Saccharomyces cerevisiae S288C: one gene and its partners. The protein of the gene in region 2 interacts with the protein of the main gene of each other region in a biochemical or structural test. Each region holds a gene or a part of one and is shown on either strand. Other genes may lie near its edges.

Region 1 (3,965 bases), on a different chromosome or scaffold from region 2:
GCAAAAGACCGGTAACAAGGGTAATGCCTCTACTTCTCGTTATTTCTCTGAGTCAGACAGTGTCTTGGTTGCACAAGGTGTTTCTGGGGCTGTCGTAGACAAAGGTTCCATCAAGAAGTTTATTCCATATTTGTACAACGGTTTACAACATTCTTGTCAAGACATTGGTTGCGAATCTCTAACTTCATTGAAAGAGAATGTTCAAAATGGTGAAGTTAGATTTGAATTCAGAACCGCTTCTGCTCAATTAGAAGGTGGTGTCCATAATTTGCACTCCTATGAAAAACGTCTATACAATTGAGTAAGCATCCATAGATATTTAAAAGTTTATTTTTGCATATAAATATACCTTCATAGAGATCAACAAAACTAAAATAAAGAACAGACCTAATAAAACGCTATATGATTCTGTGCATTTGAGGAGCATCTAGCTTCTAAATAGATAATTAATGCAACTTACTTACTTATTGAAGTATGTACAGTGGAAATAGGAGCTTTCTCTATTTGCTATCATTCTTTGCATCATGTTCATGTACTTTCTGCCAAACTTTTTCGTAGTACTTCTTATTTTCGTTTTTCAGTTCGTCTAGTGAAGGCGGTAATTTTTCATTAATTAAATCGTGCTTTCTTGCCCTTTCAAAGGTAGACAGGGCTTCATCTAAACCCTTTACACCATTAGATAAAGCGCCACGTGGCAACACGCCTGAATTGTGATCTTTTAAAAACTGAACTTTATTGGTTTCTTCTCTGAGAACAGAATACATTCTGGAAACTTTGGCGACGGCCAGAATCTTATTTCGTAAGGCTTTCCTTCGATGTTCGTCATCTAAAATGGAAGCATGTTTAGGCGACGCCGAAGTGGCTGGTTGTGGAGTTGCTTCCGACTTACCAGCTTGTGGCAATTTTTTATCGGTACCAACTAATTCTTCAATGACGGGGGTGTCGTTTTCCAGCTCATCTTCAGTACAGATGTTTAGAATTGCGACAAGCATCTCTGTAACTTTTTCACCAACAAATGGCAAGGACCACGTGAAAACGTCCATGAAATCTGGTAACCAATAGGGGTGTGGAGTCATGTTGAATTGTCTGATATTCATAACATTATTTTCGTATTTCAATATGGCAGCCTTATTATTGTAGGTGTCCAAGTAGTTAGGCGCACTGAAAAGGGTCAAAAGAGAGGGAAAGCCCAAAGTCTTGGTATTTTTGTACATTCTATAACCAGCGTCTTGAGCCTCGTGTGCCCTGATGATGGACAACAGGCCAGTCTCTTGCAGAAAATGGCACGCAGCACGATACGTGAAGGCATATGAACAGCCCCTTACTGAGTTTGGGACAAACATATCCCTTGAAGGTGCCATCTTGCCATGATGAGGAACCATGGTTTTGGAGTTCACTATGTCTTCCTCAGTCAAGTCTTTATCCAAGACTTCGTCGTACTCTTCAATCGGGTCAGCCCACAACAGATCACACATCAGGCCATGAGAGGGAATCTCCCTGAATCTATTTAGGTTGTTAATGTCCTGTAAAGAGTTTAACTCGGGAGATATACCACCATGAACACAAAGATACTGTCCGTTCATTAACGCAGCCAGGGGCAAGTTGTTAAACGATTCGCAGCATTTCTCGTAAATATCTAGATTGTACTTGTGCAGCATTTCATTTTTGAAAGTGAAATATGACGTTAGATGCTTACATTCGTGGTTACCCCTCAGTAGCCAGAAATGGTCGTTAAAATTCAGCTTCAAAGAATATAAATAAATAAGACACTCAAACGAAAAGGACCCTCTGTCGACATAGTCTCCCAAGAACAAATACGATGTAGTGGCCGGATCTCCGCCAACTTCGAATAGCTTCAAAAGGTCAAAGTACTGGCCATGGATATCACCGCAAACTGTGATTGGGGCGGGAACAGATATAAGGTTGGGTTCTTTGCTGAAGAGTTCCGTTGCAAGTGTAACGATCCTGGCCGCCTGCGCAGCCGACAATTTGCCCTCGCGCTTGAAATGATCTCTTAGGAATTCGTGACGAGGTATCCCATTGGGCTGGAACAGCTCTTCATCTGTAGGAACATGTGACGTGATGGCGGGCACTTTATTCATTATTCTGCGGTTTGTCGATACGACTCTTCCGTCATCTAGGGTATATTGTGTAAGGTCTCTGGAAGTTTCTGTGGCCGTGGAATTAGCAGCAGCAACTGTACTAGCCTTCGAATCTATAGGGGTTGTGGACGATTGCGGACGCTCTGTTTTGTTTTCTATAATTTTAATAGCGGCGTTTATCTGCTCAGTATTTCTTATAGCGTCTGAAGACATTGCGGGTTCAAGAAGAAGTACTGGCTCCTGTGTGACTCTATGGGAGGGAAGGAATATCTCCTTTTGTTTGTATCGTAGCAATTGGCTTAATACTGTTCCAGTTGGATATATGTTTTTTCTAAGGAAAAATAGGAGTCTTGATGAAAGGTATTTTTAGGACATTTTCTCATTTGTCTCGGGCCGAAAAAAAGCATTGATCAAGAGAGGGGGACAATGTTGGCGCTAGCGATATCTAGCTGTATCAAACGTATTATAGACTATCTTTGATAAAGACACAGAAATACAAAAATACGTAGAAGAGACATATATATATATATATATATATATGTATATAAAGGGAAAGGAAAATGCACGGGAGAGAATGTTTCGAGAATGACAACAATAGTAGGACGAGAGTCCCTGAAAAGAAGGGTATCTAAGAGAAGAAAAGAACAGAACTAGTGGGAAATGGAAAGAGAAAAGAAAAGAGTATGAAAGGAACTTTAGAAGTCCATTTCCTCGACCTTACCCTGGTTGAACATAGATTTTAGTTCGCCAGAACCAAATTTGTTGTTGTTCATGTCATGATCGATAGAGTTGAGTCTCTCCTCCAAATCCTTTTCCCACATTTCTAATGAAGAAGCGGAGGCAGAAGCGGAGCTGCCCATGGAGTTTTGAGTAGACAACATAGGAACCTCAGCCATAGGTGGCAAAGGCACCCTTCTAAATTCCGCCATGGTCACGGTACGCAATGTGGAAGGGGCTTGTTGTTGTTGGCAGCGATTTTGAGCGTAAAAGTAGTCTTGGGAATTTTGCATAGCGGGAAATTATTGAGCAGTTGAAGAGAGGTTAGTGAGACCGTAAGATCACAAAGGAGCAGATAAGACATTTAAAAATGGGAAGGGACAGCCAGGAAAAAAAAAGATCTCTTTTTATACCCGCTGAGGCGGAATCGGGCGAAACGGGCGATGTTCCAAAACAGTAACGATATGTTATGGCTATTTCCTTTTTGGGACGGATGACTTCCCAAAATGGCGACCGCGGCGGGTAGTGGAGCCCGTTTGGGCTCAGCGCGAGGTAACAAAAAAAAATTTCAAATGTTGGCCAAAAAAAAACGTCAATTATTCCTATGTACGAGGTCTAAACATAAAAACATATCTACTATATTCTGACGTATTTATAATCTATTGTTCTTTCCTATCATTGGCCTACAAAAAAAAAGAGAAGCATGCTCTTAGTTGGAAGTATTCTTACCAATGTCAGAAAGACCGCCGCGACGTTCGACGGCAATGATGTTGGCAGAAGGAACGTGATCCTTGGGGAATAAGTAGCCGGTCTTGACACTCTTGTTGACACGGTTGCTCATTGAGCACAAAGTGTCTTGTAGGACGACATCGTCAAGGAAGAATTGCTTTGGGTTAAGGCCTTGGTCCATGGTCATATAGTTTTTTTTTATTGCTGATGTGGTTTGTAGTTATATATATACGTATATTATTTTTCTTATAAGTAAAAGAACAAGAAAGGAAAGGAATGAAAGAAATAGTTTCGAAAAGACAATAGGAAACGCCAAAAATTCATGGCCTTTTATATGCTGGGAATCAGTTGCCTTCGTATCTCGTTTCTCGTTGCTGTGGAAACGAGATACGAAGGCAACCTTTACGTATTTGCCCT
Region 2 (4,396 bases):
TTCACTAGCTGCCCCAAAGTAATGGATTTCATAATAGTATCATCTAAGTATGCCTGTAGTACGCTAGGGTCGATATGATCTGTCCCTGTTGTTACTACACCCGCAACCCTAATTGGCTTTAAAGTAGAACTCTCATTGAAAATTGGCATCGGGCTGTCTAAGGAAATCTCATTATCAACACCAGATGATGAGGTCATGTTGAATTGAGCTACTTTTGTCTATTTGGCATCAAAACTTTTGCCACGTAAAACGCATCCTCATACAATAACTTTTTGTTACTTGCCATTATTTTCGGCAGCTTAGAAAATTCAGACGGGCGTAAAAACTATTAATCCGTAAGAATATCACTGTTTTATACTATTTCATTACAAAAACAATAACCAAATAATACCTTTGCATGGATTAGATTAGCCATAATTTCTACACTGTCATTATGAAATTACATATTTATTATATAGAAAAAAAAAATTCCTATTCAAAGCTTAAAAAAACAAAAATAATTAACTCTCTTGTCCCGATTTCTCCTGTCTGGCTTCTTCGTACAAGGGAGTGATGCATCTTCTACCACTTTCAGTTTTAAAATGCCTACCAAGAGCATCACTTCTTGCAAACTTTTTGCCACAACCCCAGGGTTTACCGTCCTTCAGCTTACCACCGCATACATACCTTTTCTTACCTGTATGCAAATCTTCGTGTCTCTTTCTATCATGTTGACGTGCAAACGCCTTACCACAAATAGAACAAATAAATGGCCTTTCATTTGTATGCGTTCTTAAGTGTGACTTTAAGTTATAAGGTCTTGTAAACTTCTTACCACATACATCACAAGCAAAATTCGCAGGATTTTTCCTATTATTTGTTACACTGTCTAGTTTTTCTAGATTGTCATTTTTCTTAACAGAAAATGTGCCATTATCGTTATTTTCGTGATTATCATCATTTTTGAAACCAACTTTCTGCTCAAATTGGCCCAAGCTATCTATGTCTAGAAGTATGCCAAGATCTTTGCTAGTGTCATCTAGTTCATTTTTAATATTGACAATGCCCGATTCAATTTTTGGTTTACTTGTTAACAAATTGTTATTATTATTATCCTCATTAAAATTGCTACTGTTAATGGTGTTATAGCTAGTTTTGCTATCATTGTCATAGCGCTCCCGATTATTGTCATTTTCACTGGATGGTAAAAGATCTGCCATCTCCAATAACTTTTCCCTATTTGCACTTATAGATTTAGCTTTTTCATCGGGAGATATGCTTCTTGATCTCGAGGATCTCCTGCTAGTGAAACTATTATTGGAAGTTTGAGAAGATCTTCTTCTTGATTTTTTAAGTTTCAATTTTCGACCGTTAATGATATCTTCGAAGGAGCGGTCAATATCACTGAGAGCTTCGTTGTTGTAATCATTATCATCTGGACGAAGTAGATTGTTATTGTTAGTAGCGCTATAACTTTCGTTATCCCGAACTTTTAGTTGTAACGTTCCGTCATCTTCGTTTTTAACTGGGAAGTGTCCCTCATTGAATTCCTGTATAGAAATGATGGGTGTTACCGGGGCAGCATGAGTGGAAGGAGAAGGTGTGGAAGAAGTTGGAATAGTCAATAACATCTTTTGGTTAGTACCGACTTTACTTTTATTAATGGCAATGGTACTGTTTTGAGTGTCAGCGGTATTAATAATTCCGTTATTACTGTTGTTGAAATCACTGTTGTTTGATGCTGATAAAAGGTTATTGTCTGAATATGTTAAAGATAGCAAGTCATCCAACTCATCAAGGTTTGAAATATGTTTATAACCATGTGAATTTACGGGCAGTAAATAATTTGAGTTCATAGATGCGACGCTCAAAAGATCGTCAAAATCATCGTTATTCGCGGTTAAGTGAGACATCGCAGGTGAAGAAACTAAGTCCTGTGGATACAAATAAGGCGTATGATAGTTTGATTCTGTATCGCTATAATTGGAGTCAATGCCCGAGCTCCTAGTGGTACCATCGTAATTAGATCTTGGAGATAAAAACTGGTTTGTGAGGGATGGCCGATGTTGATTATCAGCAGGTGTTAAGATATCGTCCCACTGAAATGTATCAGATTGTTCGACTTTTAAAGTTGGTGTTTGCTTCTGCTGTTGCTGTTGTTGTTGCTGTTGCTGTTGCTGTTGCTGTTGTAACTGTTGCTGTTGTAACTGTTGCTGTGGAAGATCTGGTTTGTATAGACTTTGGTAATTCAAATCTGCAGAATAAGAACCGCTTGACGGAGACAGCAAGCTGTTCACGTTAGAATCAAATGAGTCCGGGATGCCAGAGGAAAGGTTCTTTGATATTTTCTCCGATGAATTGGCGGAATCCATCCTCATATCCACATCTAAGTCCAAGTCCGATAATTGGAACGTATGTGATCCTGAATTGCTACTATTCCTGAAATTATTACGTCTGTAAGCGCTGTTATCGTCTATATCGTTTTTGTTGTTTATACTTTGCTCCTCTCCATTACTACTAGTCATGTAGGAAGCCATATTTCCGTTGCTGAATGACATCTTCCTTGTACTGTCTGACGAAACTTCCAATCGAGACTAAAAATACAACCTAGTTTTACTCGCGTTCAGAGTGTATAATCGTACTAAACTGCTGTGATGGCTATTGCCTGCTCTTTTGATTGTACTTTATCTAGCACTTCACAAGGTTTATAAACTCAATATCGGACTAATATGATAAAAAAAATTCAGGTGGGAAAAGTGAGAGGGTAGGCAAGAAGGTCGAAAGGAAAACAAAAAAACGTATCGCTGATATATAGCTCGCTCATGCAAGGCACAAATACAGGGGTAGGGTCCTCGACGTAGTAGACATTCTGCTTCTATAGATATTAATTAGTATAATGTTATTCAAGATAGCTTAGCAATTGTTAAATGCGCGGATGTACTTTTCAGCCCCCAACAGAGGGGCGAAGTTGCAACTAAGCTAAAGTGCAGTCAAAGCTGGAGCTCAACTGCTAACATAATAAGATGTGACTATAGTGCGCCTGGCAAGTTGCATGTTGCACTATATTACGACCAGTAATTTCCCTTGCCGAGCATATATGCCAATTGCCATTACGTGGGATATGGAAGAGGTGGGGTGCTTTTAGGTATTTGCTTTTTCTCTCATTTTTTGGATAGTACACTTTAAGCATGCGGTGTGTGGATGATGCCAAGAAAATTGAAAAATTTGGGCAGGCATTCGAGAAAGGGTCTTCAAAAAAATGCGAAGTAGTAGATATGAGTGCTTCCGTGCACAAATAGTCTTGTTCAATGGAGGTGTCATCAATAAATGTGTCTCAATACGGCACATCGTCATAAGGTAGCAGATGTTGCTAATAAGAAGGACGATAAATGCATTTCTGGGATGTATCCATTGCAATCTTACGGCGACGTGCATCCTGATTGCCTTCGTCATAACCATGTATGTGGTACTTGTATCTGAGCCTGCATCCGTAGACGGAACTATGGGAAATTTTCTTCCGTTTTCCAAGATGGATCTTGCGACGAAGAGGGACAGACCCTTTTATTCGAATTGTGTGAATACTCAGGACTATTTGTTGAATCCATCGTACATCAAGCAGAATGCCTCGTTTGTCATGCTAACAAGGAACGGGGAGCTAGAAGATGTTATCAAGACTATCAACAGTATAGAAGAGCATTTCAATCAGTGGTTCCACTATCCATATGTGTTCTTAAATGACCAGCCGTTTGAAGAGGACTTCAAAGCAAAAGTACGTGATGTTACAGTGGGCGCGCTGGTGGAATTTGGCACTATCGATGAGATATCTTGGAATTTTCCCAGTGACGTAAAGGATACGTTCGAGTTCTACAACGCAATTGAGGATCAAGGTGATAGAAGCATACTTTACGGAAACTTAGAATCATATCATAAGATGTGCCGGTTTTATTCAGGATTATTTTACAAGCACCCGCTAGTACAGAAGTACGAATGGTATTGGAGATTGGAACCCGATGTTGAGTTTTTCTGTGATATTACCTACGATCCCTTTTTGGAGATGCTCCGAACTAATAAGAAATATGGATTTACGATCATCATCCCCGAATTGTATTGGACAGTCCCAAATTTGTTTAGACACACTAAAAGCTTTATCAGTCAAAAAGGCGTTACGCTTGGGTCATTATGGAAACTATTTACAAAGGATTACGACATTTTTGAATCCGATGATCCGGAGTTACGGGACTGGATCAACTATGATTTTCAGGCCAAGGCTAAGATATCCGAAAAGATAGCCATCGAGCAGCTTTTGAAAAAGGGTGATGATTTCCAACAGATAAATGATGACAAAGAGGGAATAATGAATTTGATACATAAGGCTCGCTCTAGGAAGCATATCGTAGAAGACAAATTTTTCAATGAA
Region 3 (4,398 bases), on a different chromosome or scaffold from region 2:
TTTTTGACCATGATCGGGACGTTCAATATCAATCAATATAACGGCCAGGTATATCATTGGATCTCCTTCATAAACCATGATTGTGAACCAAACGCCTATATTGAGCAAGTAGAAGAACATGAGGAACTGAGGTTGCATGCAAGGAAACCAATAAAGAAGGGGGAACAAATACGTATTACGTACGTCAATCCCTTACATGGGGTGAGGTTGAGGCGTAGGGAATTAAGAGTTAACTGGGGCTTCTTATGCCAGTGTGACCGCTGTCAAAATGAACTATCTACATTTGAAAGAGTTCCAAATCTAGAGAAAAAGAATGCGGATGCTAATTTAGGAGTAGAAAAAATAGATTCCAATGATAGTAGTGAAGATGGCTCTAAGAAATCAACTGGTAATCGTAAATCTTCCATGAGAGAGGCCCAGCCAGATTTAAAAGAAATACTGAAGAATGGAAAAGAATTTGAATTAGACATACCAGAAACTGTTGATACACAAGGGAATGTAAGAAAAACCTCAGTCAGATTCGATTCAAACGTTTCGGTCGCAGTGGATGAAAGATAAGAGATAAACGCATACTAAATTACTGTGTCTGTTATTGTTTTTGGCTATATATATATATATATATATATATATATAGTAAATATAAGAAAAACAAAGAAAAAAGAAATGAGAGTGAATTTGAGAGCGGCAGAAAGAAATAAAATTCAAACATTTTGATGTAGATAACTGGAAATAACTGAAGGGGATAAAATATTGAACGAAAAGAAAATGATAATCCTCCAAGATCACATAATAAATATAAAGAAACTCCTCAGGAATACAGAATGTCCTCTGCTAACTTAGACGCAAGGCTATTTGTAAAATTTTATGATAGCTGGTTTTCTTGAAGTGTAGATTGTGGTAATTGCGGAGTGGAACCCATTGAGGAATGTGGTACAGTGTTGATTTCATGTTCCAAATTCGGTATGGCTACGTCTGACCTAGCATTAGCAATGGCGTTGTGATGCTGCTGCTGCTGCTGAGCATGGAAAATTTGATGCTGCTGTTCTTGTTGACCTTGTTGAACATGCTGTGCAGAAGATATAGAGGCACCTGGGGTAACAGGGGTAGTAGTTGACGGATTATCTTGTGGTAACATGGCTAACGACTGTTCATTAATCGTATTAGGATTCGAATTAGCAGTATTGGTGTTGGAATGAGTTTGTGGCGAAGAGTTGCGAGGTGGTAATTGCTGTTCGCATAAAGGAATACGGTCCTTTAGATAACGTATTAAAATTGAGTGTAAATCATCCCTCGTGAATGGTTTGGCCAAGATATCATTCATTCCATGTTGTAAGTATGTGATCAAGTCTTGATTCATAATGTTACCTGTCATGGCAATGATGGGAGTCTCATTATCAAAACTTCTGACAATGGATGTCGCTGTGGCACCATCTAGGTTTGGCATAACAATGTCCATTAAAACCAAATCATACCTATACTTCTCTAGTGTTGAGATAGCTGAAAGACCGTCGCTGACAACTTGGACAGTACAGCCATATTTCCGTAAAAATTTTGAACACAACTGTATAGACACTGCGTCATCTTCCACCAACAGTACATGGAAACCTTTTCGTAGCGTGACTGTGTTATTTTGAGCATTTGGTGTTAGGCTATTCTGATCGGGTAAATTAGGTAGTTGTAAGGAAACTGTAGATGTTGCCGGAGAAGCATTGTTGGTGTTGTTGTTGCTTTGGATAGCTGTTGTTGTTGCTGGGTTGGTATTACCAGTTGGGTTACGGTTTCCATTGTCGCCAAATATTGGCACTTCAATACCATTATTTGCCAAAGTGGAACACAGAGTGTTGAAGTTGTTGAGTAAATTTTCATTTATGGTCTTGAATGTTATCAAACTTTCGATAACCGTATTGTATTTCGAGTTCAACTTTTGTAGTTCTACTTTAGTAGCATAACTCTCCATTTTGGACATATCCAACTCCTTTTGTAGTTTGTCTACTCGCCTTCTTAGATTTCCAAATGCATCTTTACTTACGGTATTGCTTAACAACAGCTCTGTGGTGGATTCATTCAAAAGAGACCCAGAAGGATTGTTGGGGTTAGTGCCTTCACTATTGAAATGCAAAAGAGCCTTTTGAGATTCATCCAAAAGCACTTTCCTTTGCGCCGGAATTTTCCTTTTGATGTTATCGAGACCTTTTCCGTAATGGACTCTAAATTCTGGATGCTGAAACTCCCAACTTTGTTCGCCATATTTACATCTCTGTCTTTCCTCGGGACTTCTCTTAACCTTGTGAAAGTCATACTTGTTTAGTTGCCTTACAAAAGATGCAAAATTTGAATGTTTGAAGTGATTAGGCAATATATGCGTAGTGAACTTTCCTGTGTCCAAAACGACGAAACTTTTGCCGTTCTCAGTCCAAGTTACAATGTCAGGATATTCATTGTTTTCCAGTATCCTGAACAGTTTTCTTACGAACTCATTTGCTGGAGCCTTTGCTCCCGCATTAGCACTGCTGATATTTGTGTTTCCAGCTGGTTGTTGAACGTTATTAGTCTTGTTGTTAATGTGCAGCATGTCAGAAGAGTTGTTTGGCTGCATCGTGTTCATCAGTCGAGGCCCGCTCTGCAACAAGTCCATTCCTAAAAGGTCTGCAGTCGAACTGTTCTCGGTGGTGTTATTATTGCTATCGCCGGTGGTTTTATTGACGTTGCTATTTATGGTGGAAAAGCTCATAGTGGATATCAAAAGTAAGCAACGAAAAAATAGGAATAAGAATAATGGAAACAAAGAGAGGATAAAAAAACTTCTATAACAGTCCTTTAATAATACAGCAATTTCGTTGCTTTTTTGTTGGTCTTGGAAAAAACAGAATGTCCTCTAATGAGCGAGTTAAATATATGACCCAAACAAAAGCAGCAAGCCTAGGTAAGATGTTGGAAGATAGTAAGGTGACCAGGGATATCTGTGTAATGTTAGTAAAACTTTGACAAATGTTTCAGATCCTGGAAGCACTTTCAATCTTGTCACATTCGATGGGATGACAGTTAAGCTCAGTAAAGCTGACCACATTTTGCTCATAGTTAAAGAAAGAAAAAATTCAGAATTTCGGAAAATCCATGTACGCGCATCGATGAGCCCTGCCCTCACTTATGGCATCCCTATTATAGCAAAACCCTGCTTATACTTGTGTTAGCCCTACTTTTAATCGACTTTAAACCTATGCATTTAAGAAAAACTTTTTTTTTTTTTTTTTCGGATGATATAACCGACCTATAATTTCCGAACCGACTTTGGGAAATCACAGCGAAGCGTTTACTTAAGCCCTGATTATATATAGATGAGGGGTAAATATGTCAAAGTACAATGGAATGGTGAGGTATAAGCAGTGATTATGAGACGTGATAAACTAGAAATTTGCAGGAACAATTATTCATTTTTTGGAGTTTAAATAAAACGAAAATACATACATACTTTACATATATAAATAGAAGAAATGTTTCGATAAAGTGGGAAAAACGATTAGAAGATACAAATTAATAATAGAAGTAGAAATAAAAGATAGAAAAATTAGAAAAAAATAAAAAGAAAAGGAAAAGAAGAGGAAGGGCAAGAGGAGCGATTGAGAAATCATATTTCGAATCTTCCACTGACAAATTCGTCATCCATGTGTTGGTCGCCGTCGAAGTCCATCTGCGAATGGCTGTTGTTCATATTTTTCTCTTGGTTGAATCCATCATTGATGTCCTCGTCCCCGTCATCATCGATGACATCTTCGTCTGGAGGTAAGTTTGGATTTCCCGGGATAAAGGAACCAGGTTCCATAAAGTACGAGTTTTGTAGGAATTTTCTGTTGTTATTAACGTGTTCATCGATGGCGGACTCATCAACAAAGGTGAAACCAGCAAACTTTGCTTGCATGGCTGGAGATAGCGGGGTAGCAGTCATCATCGGCTGGTGCTTGTTCATGTATGAAGTTGAAGCTGTTGTGAACTCTGGGTCAAAATTCGAGGTATCCGTCTCCGAGACTAGGTGAGGTTTGAAAGGTGGTGGAATTTTTTTCTGCTTCAAGGCCTCCCAGTCGATATCTGCGAAAAATGGATGAGCTCGTAGTTCTCTTCCATCATCAATGGCACCGAGTCTATGTTTGGGGTTTCTGTTTAGTAAACCCTTTACAAAAGACCTCCCCTCTTGTGACAGTACGTCTCTGGGGAATTTGACTTTACCAAAGGCAATTTTTTGGTACATTTTTTGATTATTTTCCGCAAAGAAAGGGGACCAACCACAACACATTTCAAATATCAAAACACCTAGAGACCAGAAATCGACCATTTTGGTGTAGCCGGTTTCGTCCAGTAACAATTCTGGTGCCAGGTATTCCGTGGTGCCGCAAAATGTGTTTG
Region 4 (3,901 bases), on a different chromosome or scaffold from region 2:
TCTTCAAACCGTGCGAAGCAAAGGCGCAGAACAATGTCAAACGAGGATGAAACAACTCGTTTAATGTCTTCAGATGAGATGGACTATTTATTGGAAACGGCTGGGATCAACGCCTTGGAAGAAATCATTAGTCAAAATGACAGTACTGGAATAAATTTGGATACTAATGAAACAGCTCAGGACAGTAGCTATGACTCTATCCGGCGCTCCCCCAGTATTTTGAGTGTTGCCAAAAGCGTTGAGGGAGAGCATGGACGTAGAAAACTATTATGCCTTTACGGCCTTGTTATGATTATCTGTATTGCGGAGTCTATTTCTATGACTGCTACAATACCGTTGGTGATGGACAAGGTAGCGGAAGGAATTTCAGATGAGAATGGACATTATGATTCCGTGGCTGTACAGACAATAGTTTCCAGCATTTCTTCATCCACTATGATGATAGCAGGGGCAATCAGTATTTTCATGGCTGGTAAGTGGGGAGAATTATCCGATAGAATAGGAAGAGTGCGTGTTTTCAAATACATGAGCGGCATCAGGGTCATAGGGCTTCTTACGCACGTCTTTACCCTATCATCGAAAATGAAGTATCACAAATGGGCTATTGTTCTTACTGCGTGTATCGTACCATCATTCGGTGGCTTGTTTGCGCTAGTGGCGAATGGAAATAGTTACGTTTCAGATATAGTGAAAACTGAGCACAGAATGGTGACAATAGGAATAATGATGAGTTGTATATATGCCACTATGGGCGTAGGCCCAATGTTTGGGTCCTTTCTGGTGAAGTGGACTCATGGAAACGGGTTCATTCCTATTTACACATCAATAGCGTTTGTTATACTGGCGCTTATAATATGTGAGACAATCATGGTGGAACCGCGCCATGAAACCCAAATGGCCCATTCACAATCAACTTATACAAAGAGGAGAGAGAAACTAAGATCACAATCGGGTTCTGACGATGCAAGAAATTACCAATCCGTTACTTATGGAAAATTTCAAATAATGAGGTTAATGGACCTGCTCGCTCCAGTAAAAAAGTTATGGCTGAAGCCCGACAGTGCAGGGTCTTTAGTACCCCGGCATACCGTAATATTACTCATTGTACTCGATATACTATTTGTCTGTGGAACGACATCGTGTATGCCAGCATTGATTTTGTTTTCTACATATGAGTACAAATGGCATGCAGTAGAGCTAGGTTATTTCATATCGATACTGGGTATCGGAAGAGGTGTTGTGTTACTGGTCGTATCACCTACATTACTGTACACGCTAAAGAGGATTTATCAACACTTGAACCATTCGATAGACAAGATAGACATCTTTTGCATACAGTTTTCTATGATTGTTATAACACTGAGTCTCTTTGTCATGATACGATTTGGCGAGAAAACTCCCACATCCATGATAATATTCGCTCTTTTACAGGCATTGAGCGCGTTTTGTTCACCAACTTTGCAGTCTGGTATCATAAAGTACACCTCTAAGAAACATACAGGCGAGATGTTCGGAGCAATGGCTTTGGTAAGGTCCTGTGTTATGCTTGTCATCCCTCCCATCCTCCTTAAGCTATATGGAAGTACTGTCTCCGTTAATCCTAGTCTGTTTATGTATATACCGTTCTCAACAAGTATTGTTGCCATCTTGTTGACATTCTTCCTAAGAATTTACAAGAACCCTCCGCTGGACGGGCCTTAAAAACATTTACATACCGTATACACCACATATTTTTAGTTACTTGTTCGAAGCTGTGCTGCTATTCGTTCTTGCAAAGCCAGTGTCCTAACGACTTTGCTTATGACATGATTCAACATAGTGTTGTTGTGGTTTTTTCTACGTAATCATGATGATCTTTTTTTTCGCGCTATTAGGGGGGAGGGAAGGCGGGATCTGGTAAAAGTTTGACATAATAATCAAGGGGGATATCGTATCCCTTTACTTGAAAACTTGAAAAATATTCATCTACTATCTCTGGCCAGAAAAACGTGAGAATTTTTAGGTGCGAAACATCATAGAAGCTGCGATTGTATCCATCTAAGAGTTTTAATTTGATAAAGCTAAGGAATCTGACCCTATACTTTTTTTTTTGTTTGGCTTGCTTGCATTTTCAATCGGCTTCAAAGGTAGCACAGAAAGTAGTGTTCTCTTAGCTTAAGCAGTGCATGAATTATAGCTGATTGTGTGAAAGAATCTTTTTTTTGGGTATGTCGACTGAAGAACAAAATGGAGGTGGTCAAAAGTCTCTAGATGATAGACAAGGTGAGGAATCACAAAAAGGTGAGACTAGTGAAAGGGAAACAACAGCCACAGAGAGCGGTAACGAAAGTAAGTCTGTAGAAAAAGAGGGTGGAGAAACCCAAGAAAAACCGAAGCAGCCACATGTCACTTATTACAATGAGGAGCAGTATAAACAGTTTATTGCCCAAGCGAGAGTTACAAGTGGGAAGTATAGTTTACAAGACTTTCAGATATTAAGGACACTGGGTACGGGTTCTTTTGGTAGGGTCCATTTGATTAGATCAAGACATAATGGCAGATACTACGCCATGAAAGTTTTGAAAAAGGAAATCGTGGTAAGATTGAAACAGGTGGAGCATACCAACGACGAGCGATTGATGCTTTCTATCGTAACACATCCGTTTATTATTAGAATGTGGGGGACTTTCCAAGATGCTCAGCAAATTTTCATGATTATGGATTATATTGAAGGTGGAGAATTGTTTTCTTTGTTAAGGAAATCCCAAAGATTTCCCAACCCAGTTGCTAAATTTTACGCAGCGGAAGTTTGTTTAGCTTTGGAGTACTTGCATAGCAAGGACATTATTTATAGGGATTTGAAACCGGAAAATATCTTGCTTGATAAAAACGGGCATATAAAGATAACAGATTTCGGGTTTGCCAAATACGTTCCTGACGTCACATATACATTATGCGGTACTCCCGACTACATAGCACCCGAGGTCGTTAGTACTAAACCATATAATAAATCTATCGATTGGTGGAGTTTCGGTATTCTGATTTACGAAATGCTAGCAGGATACACGCCATTTTACGACTCTAACACGATGAAAACCTATGAGAAAATCTTGAATGCCGAATTGAGATTTCCACCATTTTTCAACGAAGATGTAAAGGACCTGTTGAGTAGATTGATCACAAGAGACTTAAGTCAAAGACTAGGTAATTTACAAAATGGTACAGAAGATGTCAAAAACCACCCCTGGTTCAAAGAAGTTGTCTGGGAAAAATTATTATCTAGAAACATAGAAACGCCGTATGAACCGCCCATTCAACAGGGACAAGGTGACACCTCACAGTTCGATAAGTACCCGGAAGAAGACATCAACTACGGTGTTCAAGGTGAAGACCCATATGCTGATCTTTTCCGGGACTTCTAATGACTAATGTTTTGTTGTATTTTCCTCTCGTATCTATATTTTTTTTTTTTCATATTTTTTTCCCTCTTTTCTACATAACAACTATCCTTCGAAAACGAAATTTCAACCCCTGTATAGTTACTACGGAGATGGAACGGCGTTCACTGTTCTTGTAGATTGCATACATGATGTTATCGAGGCGTATTCCTACCATTAAAAGGGCTTTTATTCTACGCTTCTGTCTTTGATTTTCTACTTTGCTCGCCGCGCCACTTTCGAAAGCTTGCATCATGAAATGAAGGATTTTGCATATCGATTTTTTTTTTACGTGAGCCCCTTGGTATAAACCAAATAAAGGGCAATTGGTGGCTCCAAACAAGTCGGAATCTCCATTCTATACGTGTATATTTTAGGAAGCATTATAGTCTACGAAAAGATCCATTCTTTCCATCCATTTACTTTTAGAATACAAAGGAGATAGAGAAACTTGCTAAATAAAAAAAAAATTTTGAAAAAATAAA

What was found.
Region 1: the proteins of CRZ1 (region 2) and CMP2 form a complex in vitro, tested with the Saccharomyces cerevisiae proteins (one study listed by BioGRID).
Region 3: the proteins of CRZ1 (region 2) and SKN7 form a complex in vitro, tested with the Saccharomyces cerevisiae proteins (one study listed by BioGRID).
Region 4: of the proteins of CRZ1 (region 2) and TPK1, one has a biochemical effect on the other in vitro, tested with the Saccharomyces cerevisiae proteins (2 studies listed by BioGRID).

The regions. Positions count from the first base shown.
Region 1 is NC_001145.3:158,530-162,494, reverse strand, and holds CMP2 (calcineurin catalytic subunit A), read right to left. Parts: upstream 2,316-3,965; coding exon 501-2,315; downstream 1-500. Other genes in the region: IMP dehydrogenase IMD4, read left to right, coding at 1-301; ribonucleotide reductase inhibiting protein SML1, read right to left, coding at 2,798-3,112; HUG1 (Hug1p), read right to left, coding at 3,529-3,735. UniProt on the Saccharomyces cerevisiae protein: Calcium-dependent, calmodulin-stimulated protein phosphatase. This subunit may have a role in the calmodulin activation of calcineurin.
Region 2 is NC_001146.8:577,721-582,116, reverse strand, and holds CRZ1 (DNA-binding transcription factor CRZ1), read right to left. Parts: upstream 2,538-4,396; coding exon 501-2,537; downstream 1-500. Other genes in the region: SAM complex subunit SAM50, read right to left, coding at 1-197; KTR5 (putative mannosyltransferase), read left to right, coding at 3,344-4,396. UniProt on the Saccharomyces cerevisiae protein: Involved in the regulation of calcium ion homeostasis. Binds to the calcineurin-dependent response element. Transcriptionally regulates PMC1, PMR1, PMR2A and FKS2.
Region 3 is NC_001140.6:511,065-515,462, reverse strand, and holds SKN7 (kinase-regulated stress-responsive transcription factor SKN7), read right to left. Parts: upstream 2,732-4,398; coding exon 863-2,731; downstream 1-862. Other genes in the region: SET5 (S-adenosylmethionine-dependent methyltransferase), read left to right, coding at 1-558; serine/threonine protein kinase SCH9, read right to left, coding at 3,626-4,398. UniProt on the Saccharomyces cerevisiae protein: Transcription factor that is part of a SLN1-YPD1-SKN7 two-component regulatory system, which controls gene expression in response to changes in the osmolarity of the extracellular environment.
Region 4 is NC_001142.9:109,466-113,366, reverse strand, and holds TPK1 (cAMP-dependent protein kinase catalytic subunit TPK1), read left to right. Parts: upstream 1-2,207; coding exon 2,208-3,401; downstream 3,402-3,901. Other genes in the region: YJL163C (uncharacterized protein), read left to right, coding at 34-1,701.